Linked DNA regions of Macaca mulatta. The protein of the gene in region 2 interacts with the protein of the main gene of each other region in a pairwise test. Links are inferred from orthologs where the notes say so. Each region holds a gene or a part of one and is shown on either strand. Other genes may lie near its edges.

What was found.
Region 1: the proteins of RBPMS (region 2) and VENTX interact in binary tests that used the Homo sapiens proteins (3 or more experiments, as listed by UniProt). The two-hybrid records come from large-scale screens. The link is inferred for Macaca mulatta from reciprocal best matches to the Homo sapiens genes RBPMS and VENTX.
Region 3: the proteins of RBPMS (region 2) and OTX1 interact in binary tests that used the Homo sapiens proteins (3 or more experiments, as listed by UniProt). The two-hybrid records come from large-scale screens. The link is inferred for Macaca mulatta from reciprocal best matches to the Homo sapiens genes RBPMS and OTX1.
Region 4: the proteins of RBPMS (region 2) and TOLLIP interact in binary tests that used the Homo sapiens proteins (3 or more experiments, as listed by UniProt). The two-hybrid records come from large-scale screens. The link is inferred for Macaca mulatta from reciprocal best matches to the Homo sapiens genes RBPMS and TOLLIP.
Region 5: the proteins of RBPMS (region 2) and RDH12 interact in binary tests that used the Homo sapiens proteins (3 or more experiments, as listed by UniProt). The two-hybrid records come from large-scale screens. The link is inferred for Macaca mulatta from reciprocal best matches to the Homo sapiens genes RBPMS and RDH12.
Region 6: the proteins of RBPMS (region 2) and FOXP3 interact in binary tests that used the Homo sapiens proteins (3 or more experiments, as listed by UniProt). The link is inferred for Macaca mulatta from reciprocal best matches to the Homo sapiens genes RBPMS and FOXP3.
Region 7: the proteins of RBPMS (region 2) and ARID5A interact in binary tests that used the Homo sapiens proteins (3 or more experiments, as listed by UniProt). The two-hybrid records come from large-scale screens. The link is inferred for Macaca mulatta from reciprocal best matches to the Homo sapiens genes RBPMS and ARID5A.

The regions. Positions count from the first base shown.
Region 1 is NC_133414.1:145,334,222-145,338,210, forward strand, and holds the start of VENTX (homeobox protein VENTX), read left to right. Parts: upstream 1-1,189; 5' UTR 1,190-2,529; coding exon 2,530-2,770; intron 2,771-3,989. UniProt on the Homo sapiens protein: May be involved in ventralization.
Region 2 is NC_133413.1:32,159,362-32,163,314, reverse strand, and holds the start of RBPMS (RNA-binding protein with multiple splicing), read right to left. Parts: upstream 2,801-3,953; 5' UTR 2,240-2,800; coding exon 2,174-2,239; intron 1-2,173.
Region 3 is NC_133418.1:61,712,516-61,716,620, reverse strand, and holds the start of OTX1 (homeobox protein OTX1), read left to right. Parts: upstream 1-1,305; 5' UTR 1,306-1,373; intron 1,374-1,727; 5' UTR 1,728-1,796; intron 1,797-3,372; 5' UTR 3,373-3,481; coding exon 3,482-3,578; intron 3,579-4,105. UniProt on the Homo sapiens protein: Probably plays a role in the development of the brain and the sense organs. Can bind to the BCD target sequence (BTS): 5'-TCTAATCCC-3'.
Region 4 is NC_133419.1:1,190,213-1,194,299, reverse strand, and holds the start of TOLLIP (toll-interacting protein), read right to left. Parts: upstream 2,801-4,087; 5' UTR 2,743-2,800; coding exon 2,710-2,742; intron 1-2,709. UniProt on the Homo sapiens protein: Component of the signaling pathway of IL-1 and Toll-like receptors. Inhibits cell activation by microbial products. Recruits IRAK1 to the IL-1 receptor complex. Inhibits IRAK1 phosphorylation and kinase activity.
Region 5 is NC_133412.1:140,909,690-140,912,561, reverse strand, and holds the end of RDH12 (retinol dehydrogenase 12 precursor), read right to left. Parts: intron 1,207-2,872; coding exon 1,104-1,206; 3' UTR 501-1,103; downstream 1-500. UniProt on the Homo sapiens protein: Retinoids dehydrogenase/reductase with a clear preference for NADP. Displays high activity towards 9-cis, 11-cis and all-trans-retinal. Shows very weak activity towards 13-cis-retinol.
Region 6 is NC_133426.1:49,332,401-49,335,900, forward strand, and holds part of FOXP3 (forkhead box protein P3), read right to left. Parts: intron 2,611-3,500; exon of another isoform or gene 2,437-2,610; intron 2,198-2,436; coding exon 1,966-2,197; intron 1,439-1,965; coding exon 1,334-1,438; intron 1,236-1,333; coding exon 1,097-1,235; intron 683-1,096; coding exon 421-682; intron 1-420. UniProt on the Homo sapiens protein: Transcriptional regulator which is crucial for the development and inhibitory function of regulatory T-cells (Treg).
Region 7 is NC_133418.1:5,209,287-5,213,465, reverse strand, and holds the start of ARID5A (AT-rich interactive domain-containing protein 5A), read right to left. Parts: upstream 2,801-4,179; coding exon 2,326-2,800; exon of another isoform or gene 2,040-2,325; coding exon 1,987-2,039; exon of another isoform or gene 1,622-1,986; coding exon 1,524-1,621; exon of another isoform or gene 1,236-1,523; coding exon 1,076-1,235; exon of another isoform or gene 689-1,075; coding exon 1-688. UniProt on the Homo sapiens protein: DNA-binding protein that may regulate transcription and act as a repressor by binding to AT-rich stretches in the promoter region of target genes.

The DNA.
Region 1 (3,989 bases), on a different chromosome or scaffold from region 2:
GGGGCGACGCCCGCGGGGACCACCCTGTGCGGCGTGCGGGGCGCAATTCTCGGGGCTGGGCTGCCCCAGGGGCTGGGAGGGAGGAGGCGGAGGAGCGCCCAAGTCTCCTACCCATGGCGGCGCATCAGGACGCGTCCCAGAGCTGGGGGCGGACGGAGGCTCCGAGGCGGAGGCTCTGGTGACCCCAGACCTGGGCCAGAGCAGCCTCCGCGGGCCCTGGAGGGAGGGTGGAGGCAGAGGCCCGGGCTGCAGGAGTCGGGGGAGCCTGAGCCACGGCGGTGGGGCCGCTTGCCAGGGGAGAGGGGCCACCCAAGCCGCAGCAAGGGGCTGGGGTGGGGGCCCAGGACGAGGGGCTGTCTGGCCCTGCCGTGTGAAGGTGAGGAGGGGCGGTTCAGGTGGAGGTGGTGCGGGGGAGCTGGGAAACTGGCAGGAGGAGCTCTATGCAGAGCTGGGGCCGGCGAGGGGAGCTGAACCACGTGCAGAAGGTGGCTGAGACCTCGGGGCCGGGCCCCTGGAAATTAGAGATGGAGACGTGGAAGGCTGGGTGCTGGCGTTTCACAAACCCATGCTAGTGGTTTCCTCTTTATGTAAGGGATGCTTCTGGGCCTTTTCCCTGCCTGTCGAAAGTTCTGTGTGTGTGTTTGGGGGGCGGGGTGGGAGGTGAGGGTGTGCTGCGTTTTGCTCCACTTTGAGGCACCGCCCCGCCGCAGCCCCCACCCTCAGGGCCTCTGCTCCCAGGTGGCAGGGCCGCCCCCACTGCGGGAGGGCTGGGTACCTGCCTCATGGGGCATCCTCGGGGCCAGCCCTGTGGCCGTAGGCATCTGGGCCCTCGCTGCCCCTGGCCGGAACACTCTGCTGGTCCTGGGCAGTGGCTTCAAATCCCCTCTCCCGGGGGTGACCCGGTCTCTCCGGAGATGAAGTGGGGACGGGGTCTAGGCCGCCTTCCTGGCCCCCCAGCCCTCCTGGTTTTACCCCCGAGGCCACGTCCAAAGCCCCCAGCGCCCCACCCCTGCCAGCCTCCCCCTTGAGGGCCCGGTGGCCTAACTGGGTCGGCAGGGTCCGAGGAAGACCAGGGTCAGCAGCGGCGCGGTCCGTTCCCCGACCCCGTCACCTGTGACCCACCTGTTCCCCGTGAGGTCCCGCCCCAGCGCCCCCCTCCCGGGCTCCTCCCTCTTTTCTCAGCCCGGGAGGCGCGGATAGCCGGGTTGGGCGTAATCGTGGGGCGAGGCCCGCGGGTCTTTCTGATTTCGGAGAGCGGGGTGGGCGCTGAGGCAACCGCGGTCAGGACCCGGCCGGGAGTCGGGGCTGCTCCCTGGACCCCGTCTGCGCCGAAACCCCGCATGGCTTCGGACCTGCGCCCGCGCCTAACCCCGGCCGCCGGAGACGCAGTGCGGACCCCAAGCCAGTGCGCGGAAGACACCGTCCTACCCTCGGCGTGGGCGCAACGCGAGTCCGTGTGTCCCGGCGCGCGGGAAGCTGGTCCGAGGCCGGAGGGAACGCTCGCGGCGTGGCTGCCTCCCACCCGGCCACTTCGGCCCCGCGCCCCACCCCGACGGCGCAGGCGACCCGGGGACGCCCAGGACGCGGAGACGCAAACAACTCGGGACCGAGGTTCGTGGGAGCAGCGGCCGCGCGTCGCGATGACCGTCCCGGGAGCCCGTGCTCAAGGCGTCCCCGTGAGGTTTGGGCTCCACAGTCCCCGGCGGCTCTGCCCCCGTCCTGGCCACAGTGGGGACAGCCCGGCTTGGCGGGGACGCGCCAGTCCCGCAGCCGAAGCGGAGTGTCTACCCCGCCGCGCGAGGCAGTGGCTCCGGCCCTTCCAGCTCCGGATGGGGTCAGGGAGCCGCCCGCGCCCGCATGCGGAGGCTGCTGCGATGGCCCCGGGAGTGAGTCCCCCAGAGGAGCCGGAGTAGGGCTGGAAGCGGACGAGTGCCCCGAGAGGCCCCTCCCGACATTGCCGTCCCCGCGCGCCGCTCCCCGAGCCCTCCGCGTCTTTCCCGGAAAGCGTCCCTCGGTTCCTGCGCGACCGCACAGCCTGGACGCAGCGCACGCGGGCACCGGCTGAGTCCGCCCTGACTCTCCCAGCCTGAAGCCTGCTCGCCCTCGGGTGTCCGGGCTGGGCACAGGCGCCAGCGTCCCCCTGGAGAGGAGAGGTCGCCCGGCACCGCCCAGGGCAGGCCCGAGTGGGAGCGGGACCCTCCTACCTTCCAGCAGCCTCTGCCCGCGGGGTGGGGGTTGGGAGAGATGAAAGGAGGTGACCGATGCCGAACCGTTCCCTCTCCATTAACCAGGGCCCGCAGCCCCGCCCCTGCCCCAGACACCGAGGAGCCGGGGAGGTGTGAACGGTCTCCTTTGTGTCTCTGAATCGAAGGCAATTAGGCGCTGCTTATCCGGGCGTTAGCCGTGTATGCAAACCGGGCTCCCGCCCCCTCCTCCCGGGCTTATAAACGCCGCCGCCCGGCGAGGCCGGAGGTGGATCCTGCGCCTGGCCAGCCCCGCCCGGCCTTCCCTCCGGCCCACCTGGCCGCCATGCGCCTCTCCTCCTCCCCACCTCGTGGCCAGCAGCAGCCCTCCAGCTTTGGCTCTGTGGACTGGCTCTCCCAGAGCAGCTGCTCAGGGTTGACCCCCTCGCCCAGGCCTGCCGACGTCTCCCCGGGGAGCCTCCCTGGCCCGGGCCAGATATCCGGCGCCCGGGAGCCCCCTCAGGCCATCAGCATCAAGGAGGCCGCCACGTCCTCAGATCTGCCTGCGCCGGAGAGGACCGTGGCTGGTAGGTCCGGGCCGGGGGTCCTTCCCAGGTGGAGATGGGAGTGGGGGAGAGGCCAGGAGCCCGGCGGCTGAACTCCCCGCGGTACGGGGCGGACGAGGTCAGGGCCGGGGACGTGTCCATGAGGGCCGGCGGAGGCCTTGCCTGCGCCTCACTGGAGCGCAGCTTCCCTCGAAACCAAAGCCTTGACGGGGATTTTCTCTCCTTGAGCCCTCGGTGGGCTCCTCTGCCTCCCTTGGCACCCCGTTCCTCAGCTGTGTCCCACCGCGGCCTGGTGCCGAGGGACCGTCCAAGGGGTCCCTCTCCGCACCTCTCTGCCCTGATTCCGGGCGCTCACTGAAACACAGCGCGGGCGTGGGCACCTGTGCCCCTGGTGTTCCAGCCCCGCAACCATCGGGACCCAGTTCCAGGGGTCCGACGATTTGCCAAGCCCCCTCTGCCCCCAGCAAAGCCAGTGCCTGCTCAGCATCTAGGCTCAAGCCCCTTCCAGGCCACCTGGAGCACAGCTGTCTTTTAAAGAGCCTGCAGGTTTGCTGTTAGGGCGGCGGTGACCCGGTGCCTGCAGAAACTCTGAAGTTCGGTCTGTGGCCCGGAGATGCTCTGTTGTCTGCTGAGAACAAAGGTTCTCCGCGTTTGTGTTTTAGTCTTTGTGACATCGTTGCCGCTTTTAGGTTTAAGGTAGTACTTGGTCAAAAGTGGGGTTAACATAAGTTTTCATTTTTAAAAATTTGACTGATCCTCATGGAGTAACTTTGTACTTCAGGGAAATGAAAATTTAAATATGTTCTTCCCAGCTAGCTATCCTGCCCCACCCCAAAAAAGTCAACCATTCCTGTCCCCCAACCCCCTTCCTGATCCCAGTCCTACAGCCCTCCCCGCCACAAGGCGTTTGCTTTTCGGGTCTCCCATGTGCTTTCAGGCTAACGTGAAGACAGATTTTGTAAAATACGCTTCCTTCCGCAGAAACTCCAGTGAGCATTTGGGTCAGACTTGAGTTAAATGTTGAGCTCGTTTCGCCACGTTGGCCTCCTTCCTGGGACCCAGACCACACACCACCTTGTGGGGTTGTTTAGTGCCAGCCCGCATTCCTTAACTTAGAAATTAGAAAACAGACTTGACCAAGGTGGGCCTGGGGATTAACTGAGCCGGGCTCTGCTGGCTGAGGAGCCGGAGCCCAGGACAGGGACCGAGTTCCCTGGGTGGGTCCCCAGGCCTTTGCATG
Region 2 (3,953 bases):
AGGCAAAATTACCCGGATCATTCAGGCCACCTTAGTTTCTTTTCCTGAATTTCTGACATTATAAACCCCCTCTCTTCACAGTCTTATCTGTTTTGTACACGACATCTCTTGGACAACTTAGGTTCTGAAATCTTCCTACCAGTCCCCTTATTTTTTACATAACAAGTGTTTTGCTAAAAATATCCATACTTTCTAGAGCCACATGCCATTCCTACCTGAAAAAGAACACTGTCAGGTAACAGGACAAGTAAGAGGCAGCAACCATACTGCAATGGTCCGCGATTATACAGCAATTATTACACACAACCTCGCAAGGACAGAGGAGCGTCCAGGAACAGGGCAGGCAATCCCTCGGTCCTGGCAGCTGTTAAGATGGGTCAAGCGGAAAAATGTGCCTTTTCTATACTTAATTTTAAGTGGGTATGATTTTTAGGACATTGAACCTCTTTTGCTACCCACCAAAAGGAAAAAAAAAAAGTTTTCTCAACTGGGTAAATAAAGATGGTTTGATATAATATTCTAACCCTGAGAAGCAAACAGATTGCACATTTAGCTGAAATAGGAAGATTTCTGAAGCGATAATTATTTTGATATGGTAAGTGAATTAGTTAACTATAGTAATTCCTAAAAAAGCAAATTTAAAAAAGCATTATTTTTAAAATTTTTTAAGTGGTAGGGAAAATAAATAGCAAAGCAGCCAGTAAAGTTCAAGAAAAAAAGTCAGAACATACCATTCAACTCTCCATTGCTTTGAAAAAAGAAACGCCAGTAGCATTCCTACACTTGTAATTAGAAAACATGCATGTAAACAACTCTTCAAATAGTCTTTTATAATAAAATAGAAAATGTCCTCGGGTGAGAAAGCAATTTTTGACTGACTGCAACTCATCTAGGTTTTCACTACCATACAACTGGGTAAGAGAGTAAAATCTCCGATTTTGCACTGTTTGGCATAGTCTCGCTCCTCTACCTTCTCCACCTAAATAGTTCCCATTTCCCAAGTGGACAATGTGCAGAGAACTTGTATGCATTAATGAATTCCTCTGCAATTTTGGTTTCACTATCAGAATTGAAGTTTGCACACAACAGTGTCTCAACAATGATCTCAACGTCCTAACGCTTTAGAATCCGTTTACCTTCTGTGTTCACCTAGATCAGGATGCAATACCTGTGTGAATCTTTTCGGGTCATATTGAGCCATGCACTTTCCTGCATCTGCACACACTCTCAAGTTCCTCTAGAATGTTAAGAACTCAACTGTGTGTGATATTAAAAAGTACGCCAGAAGTAATTTCTTGGACTCCAGATAATGTACCTGCAGAAACAGTCATTTGGTAGGATACCACAAATACCCTACTACTGAATTCTGAAACGTTTGTTCCTGAGTCCGACTCCCCTTCTGACTACATCTACTCAATTTTGTTTCCACCGAAGGAACGCTCCGCAGTCACAAAACTTTCATCGTGAAGACGCACCACCCAAAATGCGTGCTCAGAAGTCAAAGTCCTATAAAAGTATCCTCGATGAGCATTTGGTGAATTGCTGCGTTTTTAACCCTCTTATTCTGCTCCCCTCATCTGCACGGCCCTAAATTCGCAAGCGTTCACCGCCCAGGTTCGGGGTCTTTGACTCAGCAGAGAAGAATGTGGCTGATGAGTTATCTATTAATCCAAAAACCCTCGGCTAGAAAGATATTTCACCAAGAACTTTTAACACGGAAAGGGAGGGGGCAGGGAACAGAGGTATCTTTTAATGAAAACTTTTCCCCAAGTTTCTTCCTTAAACTGCCCCCCCCCGCTACCCCGAATCCACACACAATTTCCAGCCCCAGCCCTAAGTCCTGACCCTCCGAGTCCCGATCATCTGAGGTCACCCAGGAGTCAGCTCTCGGTTCCACTTTTTAAATCCCGGGCAAACAAAGCTGAGCATTATACTTACAAAAGTCTCCGAAAAGTCCTTAGAGTTACGCAATTTGGGGCCCGCAGACGCGCGTGGACACAAAAACACACTTTCCCGAGATCCACCCTCCCCGGGCCACACTGCGGGGCTGCGTCCCGGGCACGGGCCATGCCTAAACCTTCCACCGCCGCGCCCCGGGCCCGCGCCCGCGCCCCGCCGGCCGCCCGCACTGGGTCCCGGATCGCCCCCGCCACTGCACCGAGCCGCCCAGTACCTCCTCCTCCTGAAGGTTGGCCTCGCTCGGGGTGTTCTCCTTCTCGGCTTTGCCGCCGTTGTTCATCTTCCCGGTCCTTCCTCGCCGGGCCGGGCAGGGCTGGGGCGCGGGGCTGGGCGAGGGCGCGCTCGCCCACTGTAGCCTTCCCCGGGCGCCGGGGCTCCCTCGGGCGGGCGCCGCGGGCTGCGGGGCTGGAGCTGGAGCCGGGGCAGTGGCTGTCGGGCTGGGGCTCCCGCGGCGAGACTGCGACGGCAGCGGCGGGCGACTCAGGAAGTACGAGGGAGAGACGGGGCAGGGCGCGGGCCGAGAGCTGGGCACCGAGACAATCGGGCCCCGGGAGGGCGACCTGGATAGGGAGGGCGGGAGCCAGGGGAGGAAGGAAGAAGGAAGGAAGGAAGCAAAGGATGGGGCGAGAACGCGCGTCCCAGGAGTAAGCGCAGAGAGTTGGGGCTGGGGGCTGCAGCCGCTGGAAGGAGGGGACGGGGGTGCCTAGAGAGGAGGAGGAGGAAGAGGAGGAGGAGGAAGAGGAGGAGGAGGAAGAGGAGGAGGAGCGGGGCGGAGAGGCGCGGGCGGCGGCTGGGACGCTGGGACCCGAGAGCCGCTGAGTGCGCGCTCCAGGCAGGCTCTGGGAAGTCCGGGATGGAAGCAGCTCCCTTTCTCTCGTCTTCCTCCCTCCCCTCTCCCCTCCCTCCTCTCCGCGCCTCTCCTCCTCCCTCCGCCCTCCCTGGACGTGGGCTGCCGGCTGCAGCCCGGAGGGACGGGGCGCGGGACGGAGCCCCCCGCGGGAGGAGGGGCCGGCGGCCGGATGGCGCGCGCCGGGGAGGGGCCGCGGGCGGCGGGCGGAAGCGGCGACCCCAGCCCCAGACTCGGCGGCTGGTCGGAGGGCGAGGGCCCTGGAGGCCGAGGGCAGGGGAGGTCGGGTACTGCAGTTCCCTCGGCCCCCGGGGGCCCCGGCGTCTGCGCGCCCCGGGACTTCGGGGACCCTGCCCCGCCGGGGCCAGGACCGGGAGCTGGGATGTGTGCGACTTTTGTTTGCCGGCTTTTACCAAGGGATTTGCACCCCTGGCCCTAAGCCCACCCTTCCCGAGCCAGACCCGGTTCTTCCCCTGCTGCTTGAATGACAGGATGAGAACTCGAGGGATACTGGGGACAGCCCCCTCCGGGCCGGCTTTTTCAGGACAGGGCTTCAAACCCATCTCCAGCGCGGGTCCTGCGACGCGCCCGGAGCCTTCCCCGCTTCGCTGCCTGGGCGTCCCGCGGCCCCCGACTCCTCTCCCAACTCTCACCCGACTGTTCTGGGATTGTTTACTTGGCCTCTCCCTCACCCTTCAGAAAGCTCCTTCCTGGAAGAAAAAACCACAAACTTACCCTATTTATCTTTTTAATCCCACGGCTATTTAAACGAGCTACCGGGTGTATAGTAGGCACTCAATAAATATTTGTTGGCAAAGTGAATATTCCTCATTGCAGGCAGAGCTCGGGGTCCACACGGAGGAATTTCAGAGGCTGGAAGCACGCTTGAAGAAGAAAGGGGGCCTGGGCTTTGCACCAACTTCAGGATTGCGTACTTGTTTCCTCATCCGTTAAATGGGAGCAGCTGAATGTGTCTCCTAGCGTTTTCGAGATTGTAGGTTGATAGAACTATGTACAGCACCCAGTATTCATTCTTGCTTCGTTTAGGTTTACAGTACATGGAAGCTAACATTATTAAGGAAACTTCCATTTTTCCCGGGCCTTAGAAAGCTTTTCCAATACTCGATCGTTAAAGCTTCTGGTTTTT
Region 3 (4,105 bases), on a different chromosome or scaffold from region 2:
CGCCCTGTCTGCTCTCCGCGCCCGACCCCGCAGCCTGGGCAGCACGGGTGCTCCCCACTGCGATGCGCCTGGAGGCTCCTTGACTCGCCCTCACACTTACTCCTGTGCAAACTTTTTACCCCGCCTGTCGGGGTGGGGGAGTGGGGGAGATTAGAAACAAGGGGTAGAAATTCCTCGAAAGGGAATAAAGTGCCTAATTTTCAGAAGGAGGTGCCATTTAAAAGATTCTCCTAGCTCAGAGTTGGAACGAAAACTCTTTTTTGCACTTTTAAAAGTCCACCCAGGCAGACGTGTTTGGGAAGTTTGTTCCACTGGGAAATGGGCTTCGCCCGTACGAACAATCCGGGGAAATCGCCTCAAGGAGGCTCCTTACGCAGCATGTGGAAAAAAGTTGAGGGCAGGGGTCTGTGGCCACATTTTCCATCAAAAAGTCCCTGTTAGAGGCAGACTAGGAAAGAGAGAGAAAGAATGAAAAAGAAACTTTCCTATCAAAATGTTTGAATTAAGAAGTAGGGTGTACATGTGAGGGCAAGAGGACGCTGGGCTCCAACGTTTCAGAAGAAGCGCTTAAGGCTTGCAAACACCCTTGGTGGGGACCGGGAACCCCGGGAGATGCCGATGAGCAGGTAAGTGGCTGTGCCCTCCCAGTGGGTGCTCTTCCCAGGCGCGAGAGTCCCGAGGCGCCGAGGAGAGATCTGCACGCCCGGAGCTGCTCCCGCGCTCTGCAAAGTAGCCTGCGCCGGCACGAGCCGCCCGCGGCGTCGGTCTCAGGTGGCGGTGCAGAGGAAGAAAACGCTGGGGCCCGCGGCGCCAGGAGAGGGGCCGAGGCCCGGGCTCCTCCAGCCCGCCGCCCCCGGGTCCTGGCGCCCACACCCGGGCGGCTGAGCCCGGTGGCGCGCAGGAGAGCGAAGGAACCGGTTCTCCAGCACCTCTCCTCGTCTCTGCCACTCCCTCCGGAGCGCCGAGAGCGCGAGAGAAGGGCGGGGGCGCCCAGGGAAGGCCTGGAGACCCGCGGCCCCCTCCGCGGCCAGGACTCGGGCTCTCCGCTCGCCTTCCTCGCCTAGCTCTGAGCCGCTTTTGCCAGCCGAGTCCCGGAGTTAGCGCGCGACCGGGGCGGGGCGGGCGGGAGGGGAGGGCGGGGTGTGGGGGGCGGGGGAGGGCGGGGGCGCGCGGAGGTAACCCCCGGCTCGCGCTGCCATTGCCCGGCTCCCTGTCACTCAGCCCGCGCGGGGCCCCCGATTGGCGGCCTAGCCCCGTTACGCACTCGCCTCGCGTTCACATACCCGGGGAGGGCAGTAGAAAGGTGATCAATCTTCATCAGGCTACATTTCCAATCACCTAAACAACCGAGCAAGACAAGCCACTCCGACAAGGTAAATCGCTTGATTTATTTAGTTTGCAAAGTGACTCTGCAGGACTTCCCAGTCCCCACTGCCTCCACGTTGCACCGGCAGTGCCGCGGTAACGCCGAGCCACCTCCCAACTCTGCCCTCGAATTCCCCCCCTTGCGGCCCCTCGGCGCGATTCCGGGCGAGGCAATGTCCTGCCTGAGAACGTGTGGGGCTTAGCAAACAAAGTGTCTGTGCAATAAAGTGAAACCCAGAGGGACACGCACAAAGCCACTGAAAAAAAAAGATAGAGGTGGGAGGAAGGAAGTTGGGAAAAGAAAGAAACCCGGGGTCCTAGACCAGCCGCCGGGGTAATTCCTGTGCCGCTCTGTTTTGCAGGTTGGCTGCCCGGCGGGTCTCTGTGAGAGATCCAGGTAGATGGTGAACGTCCCCGGCAGCTGAGGGCAGGTAAGGAGAAAGCCGCGGGACCATCCCGGACTCCGGGAGCGCGTTGGTTACCCTTACCTCCCCCTCCTCAAATGGATCCCCACTTCCCCGGTCACCAGCAGGTGGGCGGGGCTGGGGGAGCGGCCTAGCTCCCCTCTTGGTGAGCCGAGGACCCCGGGGCGCTGTCGCGGCCCGCCGCTCCCTCCCCCGCCTCCTCCGAAGTAACCAAGCTGAAGTGCTAAGTTTGGAGAAAGTCTTTGAAAACTCACGCTGCAGCTTCGCAAAGCCGTCGCAGCTTTGAGTCCCATTTTCCTTCGGCCCTAGAGCCCTGGCTGCTTCTCTTCTCGTCCCCTTCCTACAAGCTGGACTCCCTCAGCCCAGGTCTTGGATCCCAGAAGACCGGGGTGGGAACGGGGCAGGGGGGAGCTTCTTTAGCTCTAACTTCTCTCCCTGAACGTCCTAGCCCGAGTCCCTGGCCTGCTTCACAGCGATCCCGCTAAGCGGGGTGTAGCAATGGCCCCCCAGAGCCCCAGGCCCAGTTTCCAGCGCCCCTCCCTGACCCCTGAGAGTGCCGCCCCGGGTTCCTGGCAGCGGCGGGGGCGAGGCTTCCACCTCCCAGCTCGGGTCTGCGTGGGCTATGCCGCTGAGGCCTACTTCTCTGTTCTCGACAGTGTCCTGGGGCCGCGGGTTCAGCTACAAGGATGACAGCACGGGACTTGCTGCCCTCCGGCTTTGCAAATCCCCGAGACCCTTTGAGGTGCTAGGTCAGTCACCCTTCACCCCCTGCTGGGACCCTGTGGTCCGCAGCACAGACTGGACAGAGAAGGCCGGGTGCGCGCTGGCAACGAAGGACGCTGGCCGCAGCTGAGACGCTCCCGACCTCAGGCCGCGTCTTGGGGTCGCCCCCCTCTACAGTGGCCTCTTCGGCGTCCCCTGGCCCTCTGCGAGGCCTGGGCCGGTTACTGCGGTTGAGGTGTGGTGGGATTTCGCGTCAGCGATCTTTCAGTGGCTGGGCACAGAGAGGTCAGCTGGAATGGTGATTGCGGGCTCTGGGGCAGGGGCGCAGCCCTGGAGACCTTTGAAGGAACCAAGTGTCCTAAGTGGACAAGAGGTTGAGGTGCGGTTAGCCCTCCACATTGCCTCACCTTGGCCCTTTGTAGTCTCTACCTTTTCAAAAACACGTGAAACAAAATGAAACAACCCCTCATGCTCCGGGAGGCCTGCCGTCCCGGCACCAAGTGAACGTTTGCTTGTGCAACATGAAGCTGGCTTCTGCCGGATTCAGAATTTTGCCTGGACTTGGGAGCTTGCACACTCCGCGGTTCTTGCTCTGACCTCCCCAGCCTGGCCTGGCTTTGACTTCTCCTTACTCCTATGGACTCCCTACCAGTGTCTTTGGCTCATTCCAACGCTGGAGCCAGACGACCCAGAAAACTTTACTTTTCAAAGCAACTGTGGTTTCTGGGCTAAGGCCTTGTGGATTCCAGTTGACCACCCTGCGCAGTTCTGTAACCTGCCTTCCCTGTCTATCCTGGGGCAAGACTTGGCAGCCAAGTGGCTCCGATTGATGGTTTCCGTGTGTCTCGTGTCTTCATAGGCCAGGCCCCCAGACGCATCAGACCCTGAAGGACTGCGGTGGGAGCCCTGCACCGCTTCTGGCCCCAGGTCCCCTGGATCCGTCGGGGCGCCTCCACCCAGCTGTTAGCATGATGTCTTACCTCAAACAACCCCCATACGGCATGAACGGGCTGGGCCTGGCTGGGCCCGCCATGGACCTCCTGCACCCATCCGTGGGCTATCCGGGTGAGCACCAGCCCTCCCGACCCTGCTTCAGCCTCTCCAATGTTGGGGCCCCCCAGACTGTTGGGTTTGAGTGCAAGCTTTGTTGCCGAGCAGGCCCAGGGAGTCAGCTATTGCAATACAGGGCCCACTGCCTGTTTACAATACAGGGCCCACTGCTGGCGCACGGGGCAGAGTCGTGGGCATGTGAGGTGGCCAGGGCTGAGAAAACGCGCAATGTGCGCCTTCCTGGCCGGGTCACCGGCAACCTTTCTCCTGTTGTGGTCCCACCACCAGCGCAGAGCTCATTTACCTGCGGATTCGCTACCCAGGGGCGGCTAGTGTTTTTCCTTTTCCCCCAACATGGAATGAGTAATCTGGACACTCGTTAGGCCCTGACAGAAAGAGCCAAACTTTCCTTATGCGAAGCGGCAGGCTGGACTGAAGGAGTATTCTTCCTTCCTAATTAAATTGTCCTCTAAATTGATGTCCTGCATCCATTTTTGCACTGCTGTAGAGGACGACCTGAGCCAAACCCGGGGTTCTTTAGC
Region 4 (4,087 bases), on a different chromosome or scaffold from region 2:
CAACACTTTACAGAGTGCTGCGCTGACCCGACAAACTCCAGGGCCAAGTCCAGCCCTCCTGTGCCCAGGACCCTCCTGCGGCCACCAGTTCCGACCTCCCTCCATCCTCAGCCCCTGGGGTTCCCTCCTCTCGACCTCCAGACCCCACACCTCTGTTTTCCGTGCACTCCCCTCCCAGCCCACCCCCCAACTCCCATTCCTCCTCCAAGCTCAGGAGAGATGTCACATCCTCACTCCAACACCCAGCCCTGGTGAGGCCACCATTTGCGAACTCTCCTAGCACCTAAGGCTTAAGATCACAGACCCACCGCGCGGTCACCACATGGCTCCACTGTCCTTAGGTGCTGCCATGTCTACCGTGCTGCCCTGTAAGATCCCGGTGGCAGGAACCACCTGGTTGCCCCTGCATCGTGGCCATCCTAAACGTCACAGTCGGTAACGCTGGTTGATTAAGTCACAGGTACTCCAAGCAGCACTCGAGATCCCCGTCGCTGACACCACCTTCTTGGAGACCCTGGCAGTTCCGAGCCAGATCTGATGTTACTGGGCATTTACTGGGCAGCGGGGGTGCCCCTGAAGTGCCTGCTCGTCTACGTGACGGAAACAGCCCAGGAGGCACCAGGCAAGAGGAGATGCTAACAACACCTCAGCACTTGTCAGCACAGGCCCTACGTGCGAGAACATCTCCTGCCGCTCCCACTTCCTCATCGCGGGCGTAGCAGCACTGCACGCCGGTGCCCTCAGAACAGGAAGGGCCTGCCTCCCACTGCTCCGTGAGTGCTCAGCACCTGATGAATTCAAACCCAGCCCTACACCCCAGTGGGGTTCCAGATGAGGGACAAGTTCCCAGGAGGCTGAGGATGTCTCCCAGACCACACAGCAAGGAAGGGGCCATCCTGCCCGGCCACCATGCCCCCCGGCTCTCCAGGAGGACACAAAGGCAGGGTGCCGGTTCCCTTGTTGCTATGAGCCTCCGGTTAGGCAGAAAGAAGCACCTCACTGCCACAACCACCTGCAGGGACTCACTGTGGTGGAGCGGAGATGAAGAGGTGGAGATGCTGACATCAGGGGCCGTCTAGGACCTCTGCCGACCCACAGGCTCCACACCTGAGTCTCTAAAGTGTCAGGAGGTCTCCTTCAAAGTCCTCAGAAAAAGCGTCTATGTCCAAAACCTGGGGCTTCATTCGAAACACAGAAAAAAATGTTCTACCTGAAGAATTCTCTCCTCAGGAGAAACACCAGGACGTGTGGATACAGTGTTAAGGGTGGGGAGCCCTGGTCACCCCTCCACCACGTCCAGTACTGGGCTGCACGAGTGCAGGGACCTTGGAACATCCTAAAAAGGACTTTTTCCGCCCACAGCAGGTTCAGAGCCACTGTTGATAAAAACTGTGCCGCTCAGGACAGCCCGCCCAGCCCAGCCTCAGTGAGTGGCACGGTTTGAATCTTCATCCCCGCCAAATCTCACGCTGAATTATGACCCCCAGCGTTGGAGATGGGGCCTGGCAGGGTGGGCGTGTGGGTCACAGGGACAGATCCCTCGTGGGTTGGTGCCGTCCTGGTGATAGGGAGTTCTCACGAGATCTGGTCATTAAAAGGTGTGTGGCACCTCCCCACCCCCAACTCTCTTGCTGCTTTCGCCATGTGACTTGCAAGCTCCTACTTGGCCTTCTGCCATGACTGGAAGCTTCCAGAGGCCTCCCCAGGAGCAGATGCCGGCACCTTGCTACCTGTACAGCCTGCAGAACCAGAAGCCAATTAAATCTCTTTTCTTACAAATTACCCAGTCTCCGGTATTCCTCTACAGCAATGCAAGAAGGCCCTAACAGTGAGCCCGGAGGCCACTCATGCCAGGAGCCCATCATCTCTGAGTCAGTCTACACCAGCTCTCCTGCAATATTAATGCTATAGAAGAAACTGACAGGCAACCCTCAGGAGAGAATTCAGAGCAGGAAAGGTTCTCTGAAGTTCTTGGCGCCTATCCTCTCATTTGCAGATGAAGAAACTGAGGCTTTGCGCGGTGGCCACTAACTGGGGACACAATTGGGCCCAAGAAGTGGTCACCACTACCCTCCCTCTGTGTAAGGGAGAAAGAGGAAACAGCCTCCATCTATGAGACCAACTAGAGTGTAGGCCCGTCTCCCCCTGGGGGGCCACCAGGGTGCAGGGCCCGCCTCCATCTAGGGGACCATCAGGGTGCAGGGCCCGCCTCCACCTGGTGGGCCATCAGGGTGCATGCCCGTCTCCACTTGGGGAACCATTAGGGTGTGGGGCCCTTCTCCATTTGGGAGACCATCAGAGCTCGGGGCCCGCCTCCATCTGGGCACCATGGGGCACGGGGCCCTCCTCCATCTGGGGACCATTAGGGAGCGCCGCCTGCCTCCTCTGGGGGACCATGGGGCACGGGGCCCTCCTCCATCTGGGGCTCACCACGGGCGCAGGCCCCCTCCCTCGGGGCCGCCTCCCCAAAGCTCTGCCCGGGTGCGACCGGGAGCTCAAGCCTCCCGCAGTGTGGGCACGTCCGTCCCGCCCCGCCCCGCCCCGAGGTGGGGACGCCGCCGCTCCCCTCCGGCCGGCCGGGCGCCCCGCGTACCCCGGGAGAGCCGAGGAGCCGGCCCGCCCGCCGCCGCTGAGCAGTAGCCCGGGCCCGAGGCCCTTCCCGCAGCCGCAGGTCGCCGCCCCCGCCCGACCCCCGCCTGGCGGCCTCACCGGCCCGCGCTGAGTGCTGACGGTGGTCGCCATGGTGCTGCGGCGGCCCCCGTGGCTCGCCGACCCGAGAGTGACTCGCCGGGCGACCTCCTGCGCCCCTGCCGGAGCCTGCGACGGACACAGTTGTCACCTCGAGGCCGCCGCCGCCACAGTCAGCTGACAGGCGCCGCGCCCCGCCCCCGGGGCCACTCCACTGCGCAGGCGCCGCTCCAGGTACGGCCCCTTCCGGCTCTCTCGCGCACGCGCGCTCCAGTGTCGGGCAGGCACAGCCTCTTGCCCGGCGCCTGCGCAGCCGCTCTCTCCGCGAGCCCCGCAGCTCAGCGAAATGGCTCCCGGCGGGGCCGTCTGCGCATGCCCAGTCGTGACGGCCGTCGGCGCGGACCCGAGTGTGGCGGCGCTGCAGTCTGGGCAGTTTGGCTCCTCCTCGGTCCTTGCCGAGTGGCGGCAGGACCTGGCCACCTGGCGGGGGTGACCTGCGGCCGTGCGGCCCGCTCGGAGAAGGGAGGGAACTGTGGCCCGGAACAAACCAGGGGCAGGCCCGACATCCCCTCCAGCGCGATCTTTCCCTCAGCTGACTGCGGGAGGAAGGGCCTTTCTGTTGCAAAGGGCTAAAGATGGGGCGCGGTTCCGCCCCGGGGCGGCTGCCGGCTGAACGGAACGGGGATGGAGCCGCTGCCAGAAGAGCCCGAGTTCGAGCCCGCCCTGCCCTCGGCCTCCCCGCAGCGCCGCTCCGCAGGGGCCCCGCTACCCTCCTGCTCGCTGCGAACCCCAGTCCGGCCTGACCTCGCCCCCCGCGCTCAGGCGCTCCAGCCAGAGCGACCCCAGCTCCAACAGCGCTGGGTAAACTGAGGCCGAACCCCGCTCGCTGCATCCCCAGGAATGGGGCGTTTACGGTCACAGGCACAGGTTAATGTTTACCCAGCAGACCCGGGACTCGGGTCCTGATGTCCGGGTATCTTAACTAAAAGCCTTCTTAGTTGAAGTTTCGCTTTAAAGATCATGATACAGATGCTCGCGGAGGACAGGCGTTACGCAAAGATTAGCAATCCTTTGTTTGACGAGCCCAGGTAGTACAGCACGTCTCCCCCGTGATGTTTTTTGGCTTTTATCTTACATATAAACAAGCGTTGTATCCAGGTGGACGCCTTCCTCCTTATACTTTTGGGAACACCCTGCTCTATGGAGTAGCCTTTCTTTTATTCCTTCGCTGCCTTAATAAACTTATTTTCACTTTGCTCTGTGGACTGGCCTGGAATTCTTTCTTGCACAAGATCCAGGAACCCTCTTTTGGGGTCTGGATCAGGACCCTTTACCAGTAACACAACCACTGCACCAAAAACTCTTGTCTGTGATCTCTATATTGTTAGTGGTCAGTTCT
Region 5 (2,872 bases), on a different chromosome or scaffold from region 2:
GATGCCCTTTGGATGCCTTAAAAATGAAGCCAATAAGCATGACTTATTTTGTTGATCAGCTGAAAGATTAGGCACATCTCTCTGCCTATTCATGGTGACCGTCAACCCTTGAGGCAAGAAGCAGGTCACCTGGGCCACAGCAAAGGACAGCAGAGAGACCGGAAGTGGGAGAAGCTATGAATTTAGGACAAGAGATTATCAAGGCTTGGTTTTCCTGTATCTGTGGATCAAATGAAGTCCTACATCTGGCCTTAATCTGTGGTGGAGCTCGGCATATCTGTAATTGAAGACATTCTTCTCTTTTAGATAATAAAATGTTACCGCTGGAAGAAAATTAACAAACGACTCAACTGGACCATCTTATTTTGCCCCCAGATGCCATAGTCTAAGAAGGTATGGGTGGCTGGGTAGGGTGAAATGCTACTCACTAAACTAGCAGGCTGGTTCCCCTGCTTTGTTCCATTTCTCTTCCTTGCTGCCCTGAGAAAATAAATAAGACAATAAGATGAATGCAGTCTTTATTTTCTCTAAAATTTGAAAGGTAAAGGGAACACTTTACAAAAAGAAACCATCTGCATGATTGAAATGGGAAGGTCCAGGTGAGAGGAAGGAATCTACTTGACCAGGGTTAGCCAGGATCTTTGTGTGTTGGTCCAGACTCCAGGGTGGTGGCAAATAGTTTTAAAAAGAAAGAGGTCAACCAAGAGTTGGATTGTATAGCCCCTGGAAATAGGCAGTGATGATGCTCTTCTTGCCTCAGCTGAGCATCTGGTGCTGATGAAGGAATTGACCCAATTTCTCAGGCTCTTCTGCCACCCACATGCCCAGCCGGGGATCTACCCAGTCCTGCTGCCCCCAGAGGGTTGCTGACTCTCCAGGTCTTAGAGAAGAATGCTCTGTAGGTATCCACATCTCATGCCATAAGCCAGTCTCACAAGAGTGTGAAGAGTGCAAACATTCCCAGAAGGGTCAAGAGGATCAGAGCAGGCAGGATTCGCAGCACCAGCCAGCCAAGAGGACAATCCTTTAGGGTTGGCCTTCTCCTTGGTCCCCATTCATTATGGCATAGATTGGGCCTGGTAAAGCTGCGGCTCTTCCACCAGCTACTCCCACCGGATTCCTAGAAGCTCACAGCTGACATTCCATAGGCGCTCAGCTGTTTTGTTATTTCGGGCCCTTGGAGACACCCAGGTCCTCTTGCAGTCACTGGAGGGCAGAGGAAGACGGTAAATTCCAGGAATGAGAATTAGCAGTCTGGAAATCTTTATGGTCCCTTTCTCAGAATGTTTCTAAATGTATAAAATACAATATATGCCAGACTCAAAGAAACTAATTATATAAAATGCACTCTAAGAATATGTTAAAAACAAATTTGTGATATAGTAATACACAGGCTTATTTATTAATGTATTCTATAACAAGATCTAGTACCAGGTCTAATTATCAAAAGATTTCAAAGTAGTGGCGAGCAGAAGTGACATTCTAGGATACCTGCAACAACTGCAATGTGATATGAAAATATTTATAATTCTATTGACAAAGTCACAGGTATCACTACTACTACTACAGTTCAGTGCCTACATTCATAATTGAAGAAAATGCCAAATCTCAACTGGAGGTTAAACTAAAGATGAAGTTATTTTCCCATCCAAGTTCACAGGCCCCTTGAATTCTGTTGACAGGCCCACTTGCATCATGAACCCCAGACCAAGCCCTCCAGATTTGCTTTGGAATGAGCAGGGGGCCCGAGGACCAGAGGGATAGGGGGTGGGAAGAGAACACAGTTCTCATCATGTTTGTTTGTTTGTTTGTTTTTAATGTTCCTTTTTTCTAATTATAAAAGCCCTGTAAAACAGTTGGAACATGCAGTGCTGATAAAAGAAGAAAAGCCTATCATGGCTGGGCATGGTGGCTCACACCTGTAATCCCGGTACTTTGGGAGGTTGAGGTGGGCGGATCACCTGAGGTCAGGAGTTCAAGACCAGCCCGGCCAATATGGCGAAACCCTGCCTCTACTAAAGATGCAAAAAACAATTAGCTGTGTGTGATGGTGTGTGCCTGTAATCCCAGCTACTCAGGAGGCTGAAGTAGGAGAATGGCTTGCACCCAGGAGGCAGAGGTTGCAGTGAGCGGAGATCATGCCACTGCACTTCAGCCTGGGCAGCAAGAGCAAAACTCTGTCAAAAAAAAAAAAAGTCTCTCATTCAGTTGCTTTCTGTACAGTCTTTTTTCTTTGTTTGGATATAAATAGAGATGTAGTCTCTCTCTCTCTCTGTCTCACATAAAACCGGGATCATACTGTGTCTAGTTTGAGGAGGATTTTTTTTTTTTTTTTTGAGATAGGGTCTCACTTTGTCACCCAGGCTGGAGTCCAGTGGTACTATCACGCTTCACTGCAGCCCTGACCTCCCAGGCTCAAGCCATCCTCCAACCTCAGCCTCCCGAGTAGCTGCGACTACAGGCATGCACCACAATGCTGGGCTAATTTTTTGATTTTTAGTAGAGATGGGGGTCTCACTTTGTTGCCCAGGCTGGTGTGGAATTCCTGAGCTCAAGCAATCCTCCTTCCTTGGCCTCCCAAACTACTGGGACTACAGGTGTGAGCTGCCGCACCCAGCCTTAAAATTTTTTTTTTTTTTTTTTTTGAGACAGAGTCTCATTCTGTTGCCCAGGCTGGAGTGCAGTAGAGCGAGCTCAGCTTACTGCAGCCTCTGCCTCCCAGGTTCAAGTGATTCTCCTGCCTCAGCCTCCTGAGTGGCTGGGATTACAGGCATACACCACCATGACCAGCTAATTTTTTGTATGTTTAGTAGAGATGGGGTTTCACCATGTTGGCCAGGCTGGTCTCTAACTCCTGACCTCAAGTGATCCA
Region 6 (3,500 bases), on a different chromosome or scaffold from region 2:
ACAGTAGAATAAGGCTGGCATGTTGGCATGAGGAGTAGCAGGGCAAAGCAGTTAGGAGTGCAAAATCTGGAGCCTGGCTGCATGGGTTCAAATCCCAGATCTGTCACTCAGGAACTGGGAGATTTTGATCAAGGCACTTAACCTCTTTGGCCTCAGTCTCCTTGTCTGTAAAATGGGGGTAAATAACAGAACAAATGTTTCTTATTATACATATGAGGAAACTGAGGTCCAGAGAAGCTAAGTAATTTGTCCAAGGTCACACAGCCAGTCAGGGATGGAGCTGGGATTTGAACCCACAGTCTCAGAGTTTAGCTCTTTCATCTTACTACTTATTGGGATTAAGCCTGGGCTGAGATCTGTACCCCAGACCTCTCCCCACAAGCCAGGGCCAGTGGACTGGCACAGGCCTGGGCTACTCACTTGAGGAAGTCCTCTGGCTCTTCGAAGACTTTCTCACATCCGGGCCACTTGCAGACACCATTTGCCAGCAGTGGGTAGGAGCTCTGGGGCATGGCCGAAAGGGTGCTGGGGGGATAGAGGGTGTCAGGGGAGGGGATAGGAGGGTGAGGATCCTTCCCAGCCCTGTCCACTGACCTGTCCTTCCTGGGTGCACCAGGATTTGGGAAGGTGCAGAGCAGTGCTGGCTCCCTGGACACCCATTCCAGGCTGGCCACGTTGATCCCTGTGGGTGGGGACAGGGCATCTCTGGAGGCTGTGGGCTGGGCTCTGGAGCTTGACCCACAAGGCCTCTCATTTTGAGCTTCCCACCCTCCTGAGCCTCAAAAACCCTGACTCCCAGGGGGTTCTGCTGTCCCCAAAGTCCCAGGCTTCTGGCAGAGAAGCTTAAAGACGGCCATTCGCAGGTGCTGACATTTTGACTAGCTTTGTAAAGCTCTGTGGTTTCGTGATTTTGACATTCTGCATCTTTAAGGTTCTGCACCTGACATTTTTTGGAGGTTGGAGTTTCCAAGCCTCTGAGACCTGACACCTTTGACCCTCAGAGGACTGCAATTCAGAATAGCCTACACTGCTCACGGCCAAGGATCTGGGGACCCAGGGGTTCTGTGAAGCCATGGGGTATGGGCTGAGGTGTTACCAGGTGGGAGGCCAGGCCGGGCCTTGAGGGAGAAGACCCCAGTGGCAGTGGTGGGTGGTGGGAGGCTGATCATGGCTGGGCTCTCCAGGGGGTGCACCTGCAGCACAGGGGTCCGGGCGTGGGCATCCACCGTTGAGAGCTGGGGGGCACATGTGGGCTGTGGTTCAGCCTGGCTTGGGGTCCCTCCCCACAGTTCTCCCACCTGCTCCCTCCTCCCTGCCCATTCACCGTCCATACCTGGTGCATGAAATGTGGCCTGTCCTGGAGGAGTGCCTGTAAGTGGGGCAAGGGGCCCAGCCGTGCCCCGGAGGGTGCCACCATGACTAGGGGCAGTGTGGGCAGCTGGGCAGAAAGGCAGGTGGGTGAGAGGCCATCCTGATCCTCAGTGTTCTGTGTCTAATTCATATACTCTGCACTGCAAGCCCACATGGTAGATGCTATGATCGTCCCCCTTTTATACGTGTGGAAACTGAGGCTTATGGAGATCGAGTAACTTTTTAAAGATCAAACAGCTAATAAGTCGCAGAGCTGGCCTCAACCCTATCACCTCACCTCCTTGGCCCCAGTCCTCTCCTCTTGTCACATGGGGATGGGGACACATAGCTATGCCCATGGGACTATAATATGGCCTCCTCTTCTCCTGAGACAGGGATTGGGAGGTTGGGGAGAGCCTCCAATCTCTGAGGCCTGGCAGGTGGGGACTTTCTTGGCCCTGCAACATCTGCATAAGTCACAGACTTGCCTGGGACCCAGAAACCACTTCCTGTGCCCCAGCCAGCCCCCCTCCCGCCCGGTGCCACAGTAAAGGTCGGCACCTGTAGGTCCAGGTACCCCACCCTGCCTGCCCCATCCTGGGCCCAGGGCCTCACCTGCAGCTGCGATGGTGGCATAGGGTTCAAGGAGGAAGAGGAGGCATGAGCCCCGCCTCGAAGATCTCGGCCCTGGAAGATTCCCCCAGGGCCCCGGGCCCCCAGCAGGTCTGAGGCTTTGGGCGCAGCCCTCCAGCTGGGCGAGGCTCCTGGGGATGGGCCAAGGGCCAAGGAAGGGGCCGAGGGCTTGCCTGGCCTGGGGTTGGGCATCGGGTCCTTGTCCAAGGGCAGGCTGTGTAGACAATAGGGGAAAGGAGTCACACATGTGCTAGGGCGGTATAAGATACTCAACCACCTGAACCACGTGGACACCCCTCTGGTCAGAGCAGGCATTGGCTGGGACATGTCCCGAGGGGTCCCACAGCTGCACCCCAGCTCTGGACACACACACATACACACACACATACACCCCCCCAAGAACACAGGTACACATGCATACCCACACACGCCCCACGTGCAGAGGTCTAGCACCTGGCTTGCCTGCCCACGCTAGCACAGCCCTGGTGTGGATGTGTCCTCTATGAGGGCAATGGTTGTTTCTCCCTCCACTTGAGAGCTGTTTCAAGCCTCAGGCCTCCAGCCCTCCCGCACCCTGCACAGGCTGTGTTTGCTCATGTTGCCGGAGCTGGTCTTGGACTTTCTCCTGGGAGTCCTATTTTGCCCCAGTGACTAGGCACGGACTCAAAAGATTCATCTGGCTGCTGTGAGTGGAGCTAGTGAGAAGGCTGTTGCAATAGTCCTGGCAAATGATGATGCTGGCACAGAATGGGCTGGTGGCAGTGGAGAAGGTGAGAAGTGGGTAGATTCTGAGACTTAATCTGCAGCTGGATCAGGAGCAGTGCTGGCAGCTTGGATGTAGTGGGTAAGAGGGAGGGTCAAAGTAACATGGGTTTTAGCTTGAGCAGCTGGAAGGACCGAGCTGACATTACCTGAGATGGGGGACATGGCGGGGAGTTGGATTGGGGGCAAAAGTGCAGGTGTGGATAGACATGAAGAGTCTGGCATTAGATGTGTGAGTGGAGGAGCTGAGGGGGCAGCTGAATACGGGGGTCTGGATCTCAGGGCAAGGAGGCGAGTCCAGGAGTGTGATCATGCACGGATCCAGCATGGCAAGTGACAGAGAGGAAGAGAGACAGGGTCTCTTGAGCTGGGGCCTGTAGAAGCTTCTCAACCCAATCCCCATCAGAGTTCACTCCAATTTCTGGCCCTCGAGCCTGGCTCATCCTACTCACCCTGCCTCAAATGCCCACTCCTTCTCCTCTTCCCCTGTCCAAGCCACGCAAGGCCTGCTCTTCTATTGTCCTCACCTTGAAAGCCCTCCACAATGGCTCCAGGCCCCTCTATTGAGCCCCAGAATCTTCCACTCCCCGAGGGAAGCACTGGCTTTTCAGGATCCTGTAATCCTGGTCTGAGAGGAAGCCAGAGCTGGAAGGGACTGCCCAGCCAACCCCATTATTACAGAAGGGGATGCTCAGATGCCGAGTTCCATAGTCCCATAGTGACTTGAGAACTCCACTTCTTTCTTTAGGAAGTGT
Region 7 (4,179 bases), on a different chromosome or scaffold from region 2:
GGGACACCCAGCAGGCTTTGGGCTTGGGGTAGAGAACGCCCTTTCTGGAGCCGCCTTTGTGGAATGCAGAAGGGCGGTTGGCGTCCCCGCCCCACACCAGCTGGGGCTCTTTCACTGACAGCCCCTCTTTGCCAGGAGGCCCCAATAGCACCCCATCTTTAAGTCTGGAGAAGAAGTCCCTGGGGTGCTGGCTGACAGGCTTCAGCACCTCGGTGGGGTGGGTGTGGAAGCAGCCCGTGAAGATGGGGGCTGCCGGGCAGGGGCCCGCCTGCACCTCCTCCCTGAGGCTGCCACCCGGGGACTGCAATCCCTCCTGAGAGGTCAGCCGGTGCCTGGAATTCTCAGTCAGCCCTTTGGGGCTCTGGGGACTCCCTGGGAGGTGAACAGCTGGGGATGCCTGGGGCTCCGCCCCATGGCGACAGCCCTCCTCCTGGCACTGCAAGGCCTCCACCTTGCTCACCTGGGCCAGGAGCTTCTTTTTGGCCAGTGGTGACATGATGCCGTGTGTCCCCTTGCAGTAGAAGCTGGATAGGAGCCGCTTGTAGGCCTCAGGGCAGCCGCTGGTACCCACAAAGGACACAGAAGACCCAGAGGCCGGGCCCTGCTGTTCTGTACTGTTTCTGGGGGGCTCCTGGCTAAGAAGCGGTGCTGGGTCAGCAACATCTGCTTTGGTCTTTCCTGGCATCATCTGGAATGAGAGAAAGCCATGCCTCAGGGCTGCCCGAGCCATGCATCCTGACCTCAGGAGCAGGAGGCGGCACTTTCAGGCCTGCCCAGGTTCCCCGCTAGCTCTTGCAGTCCTTTGTGCAGAATTTTCCAAAGGAGCCCTGTCCTCTGAGCGGACACAGCCTCAGGTTGGGACACAGGGCCTGGTGGTGGGGTGCAGGCTGGAGTTCAGTCTGCTTGCACAAGTAGAGAACTTGCGCACTGTGGAGAACCTGGAACCTTGCAAGTCCCGCCCTGGGTGCATGTTCGGTGTGTTCTGAGCAGACAGCTCCGTGGCCACAGGGAGTTGTGGGGTGGGGGGGCTGCAAGAGGCAGGGAACAGGGTGGCCCCACCCAGCCACAGGCGTACCTGGTCCATGCGCCGCTCCTCCTTGGCCTTCTTCGGCCGCTCGGTGGCCCCATCATCCCCCCTGTTCTCCTTGGCCATCTTGTACTGTTTCCTGGGCTTGGAGGTGGGCAGCGGCTTGTCATCCTCCCCCTTCAGGTGCCGCACATATGGCAGGACCAGCCTGGGGAGGAACCGGGCATGTCCCCCAGGAGGTCGGCGCCCATCCCCTCCACCGGCCTCTGTGGCCTCCTCTGAGCCCCTCTTTCCCGCCGGCGCCGAAGAAGACCCTCTCCTCCTCGCCCCAAAGCTCAGCTCCCTCGGTGGCTGCGCCCAGCCAGCCTGGGCCCCCGCAGCGCTGAGGACGGGGCCCACCCCGCCCGCTCCGGACAGAGTCCACCCAGCCCTCCCGGCAAGGTCGACCGAGCCCCGCAGGGCAGGCGGCGTCCAGCACCCGGGCCCGCCCCCCTACCTCTCGTAGTGGCGGCGCGTGCACGTGGCCGCGCTGGTGCTGCCCGGGCTGCCCCCCAGCTCGTCGTACACGTTCTTCCAGAGGCGGCGCCCGGTCACCTGCAAGGGCACCTGGTGAGGGCGCGGCCGCGAGCGCCCCCTGGCAGCGGGGTCCTTGCGGCTCTGGCCGCCCTCGCAGGGACCAAAGCACTGCGGTTTGGCAGCTGCTCTGCGGCTCCGACAGCGGCTGATTCTCCCTCCCAGGGCCACGGACTGCTGGCCCAAGCAGTTTTTCCAACACGGGGCGGGCAGAACAGATGGGGAAGGCTGAAAAGCTGCTTTGAGCAGCAGAGAACCAGCGGGGGAGGCGGGGAGGAAGGCAGGACTGGGGATCCTGGCTCTTCTCCTGTCCAGAGGCAAGGACAGCGTTGCAGGCTCACCCCAGGGAGATGCAGTCTGGCAAGGACTGGGGGTGCCTTCCTTACCAGCTCATAGGCCCCCAGCTTCTCCACTGCCTTGTAGATCTTCCACAGGTTAACTGGGGAGAGAGGGGCAGGCTGGCCGTCAGCCTCCGTGGGAGGTGGGGCAGCCACCCCTTCCTAGTGCCCTGACACGCGGGCACAGAGCAGCACACACCCAGGCAGGGCCACTGCAGTAGATGGGCAGGCTGTGGCCTGTGCACTGCTGGCCCGGTGGCAGCCTGGAGGGAGGCCTCCTTTCTATCTGCAACCTGGGTCACCCAGAGTGGGAGTGCCTGCCCGATGCCCTGCCTGGGTGGGGTTCCCTGCTGGGCCCCCCTCCCTGCCTGCACCCCAGGGACGCACTCTGCTTGAAGCCGAGATGGGGCACCCTCTCGATGGGCGTGTGTCGCTCCTTCATGAACTTGTAGAGGCTGACCAGGAAGGCCTGCTCCTCCTCCCGCTCCTGCTCCTCCTCCCGCTCCCCGCCTGCCTCGGGGGAGTCCTGGGGAGAGAACAGGAGGCATTGGGATGGGCCCCAGTTGGTGGCTGGCTGCTGGGGACGTGCAGAAACCACTGGCTGCAGGAGGCATAAGGTACCTTGCCCCCAACCCCAGTTTCCCAGAGAGCACCTGGCCACTGTTCTGGGAGGGAGTGACTGTTCCTGGGTTCGGCTGGCACAGGTATCAGCCCTCAGTGCCCTAGGGCAGGGGCTAGAGCTCAGGGCCCCCCCCCAGAGGCTGGGCACCCCAGAGCAGCTGCCTCCAGAGGTGTCCACAAGAGCAGTCCCCAGCCTTCTCCAGGCCAGGATCACTTCTCTGTCTTGTTCTTGATTTGTCATATTTGTGTCAGCTCCTCTGCCAGACTAGGAGCTCCTGGAGGGCAGGCTCAGTGTCCCTGGGACTCCCCGCCGCCCTCCCCCCTACCCCCAATGCCGAGGGAAAAGCTGAAGGAACAAAGGTGCCTGGTGCTTTCCGGTGCCGTGGGTTGCTCTGTCAGGCCCACGTTCCCCGAGCCTCTGTGTGGCCCCGGCCTGCCGTACTGAGCACAGGGAGGTGAAGCTCTGGGCTTCAACTGCACACTGCTGCCAGGGGCACAGGACTTTGGGTTGCGGGTCCCAGAGGGACAATCTCCGCTGATGCCTTCATCCAGCAAGTGGCTCAGGGCAGACAGCCCAGGGCCTACACCCTGTCAGAGAACAGACAGCTTCCAGGACATAAACCATCTAGACTAGGATAGTGCAGACAGCCATGTGTTCCCAAAATATTTGATCCAGCTGGGCATGGTGGCTCACGCCTGTAATCCTAGCACTTTGGGAAGCCGAGGTGGGCAGATCACCCGAGGTCAGGAGTTCGAGACCAGCCTGGCCAGCATGGGGAAATCCCATCTCTACTAAAAATACAAAAATTAGCCACGCCTGGTAGTGCATGCCTGTAATCCCAGCTACTCGGGAGGCTGAGGCAGAAGAATCGTTTGAACCCAGGAGGTGGAGGTTGCAGTGAGCCAAGATTGTGCTACTGCCCTCCAGCCTGGGTAACAGTGAGACTCTGCCTAAAAAAAAAAAAAAATTGATTCAAGTTTATTTCAGTGTTACTTTTTTTGTTTGTTGTAAATAGCTTCTGTAATAGTTCAGTGTTTTTAAGGTATTAAAGACCTCTGAGAAGAAACAACATACGAACTCATATATCACCCATGAAATCGTAACATGCCGGGGCCCTGGGGCTGGTCTGTGCAGACCTCAGAAGGAAGGCTCTCTCATAGCTGCTCAAGTCAATCTGCTCCTCCAGGCCTCTACTCTGAATTTCCAGCAAGCTACTAAAGACAACTACCATTTGCAAACACTTTTCTGCATGAATCTGGATACTTTTCCAGACTGTGCCACCAAAGCAAATGGCCAAAATGAATGAAAGCCGGGGCCAACTGTGCTCCGAAAAAGCTGCCTGCAGCGCCCCCTTCAGACTCTGCTCATCGCAACAGCCCTGTTGGTCTCACCGAGTGACTTTATATGCCCATGTTATGCATCTGGATGAATGGATGTGAATGTGGTTTTGCATCACGGGCTGGAGCTTTTGTCTGTTTTATGGATCAGGGTGGTGGGTCATCTTCACTTGAAAAAAGGGGTCTGCTACAAAAACCAAGTCAATCTTGGTTTCAATAACTCTCTGGCACAGAAGACAAGTCAGTCCCCTGGCTGCTGGACAGGGCCAGGGTAGGAACATA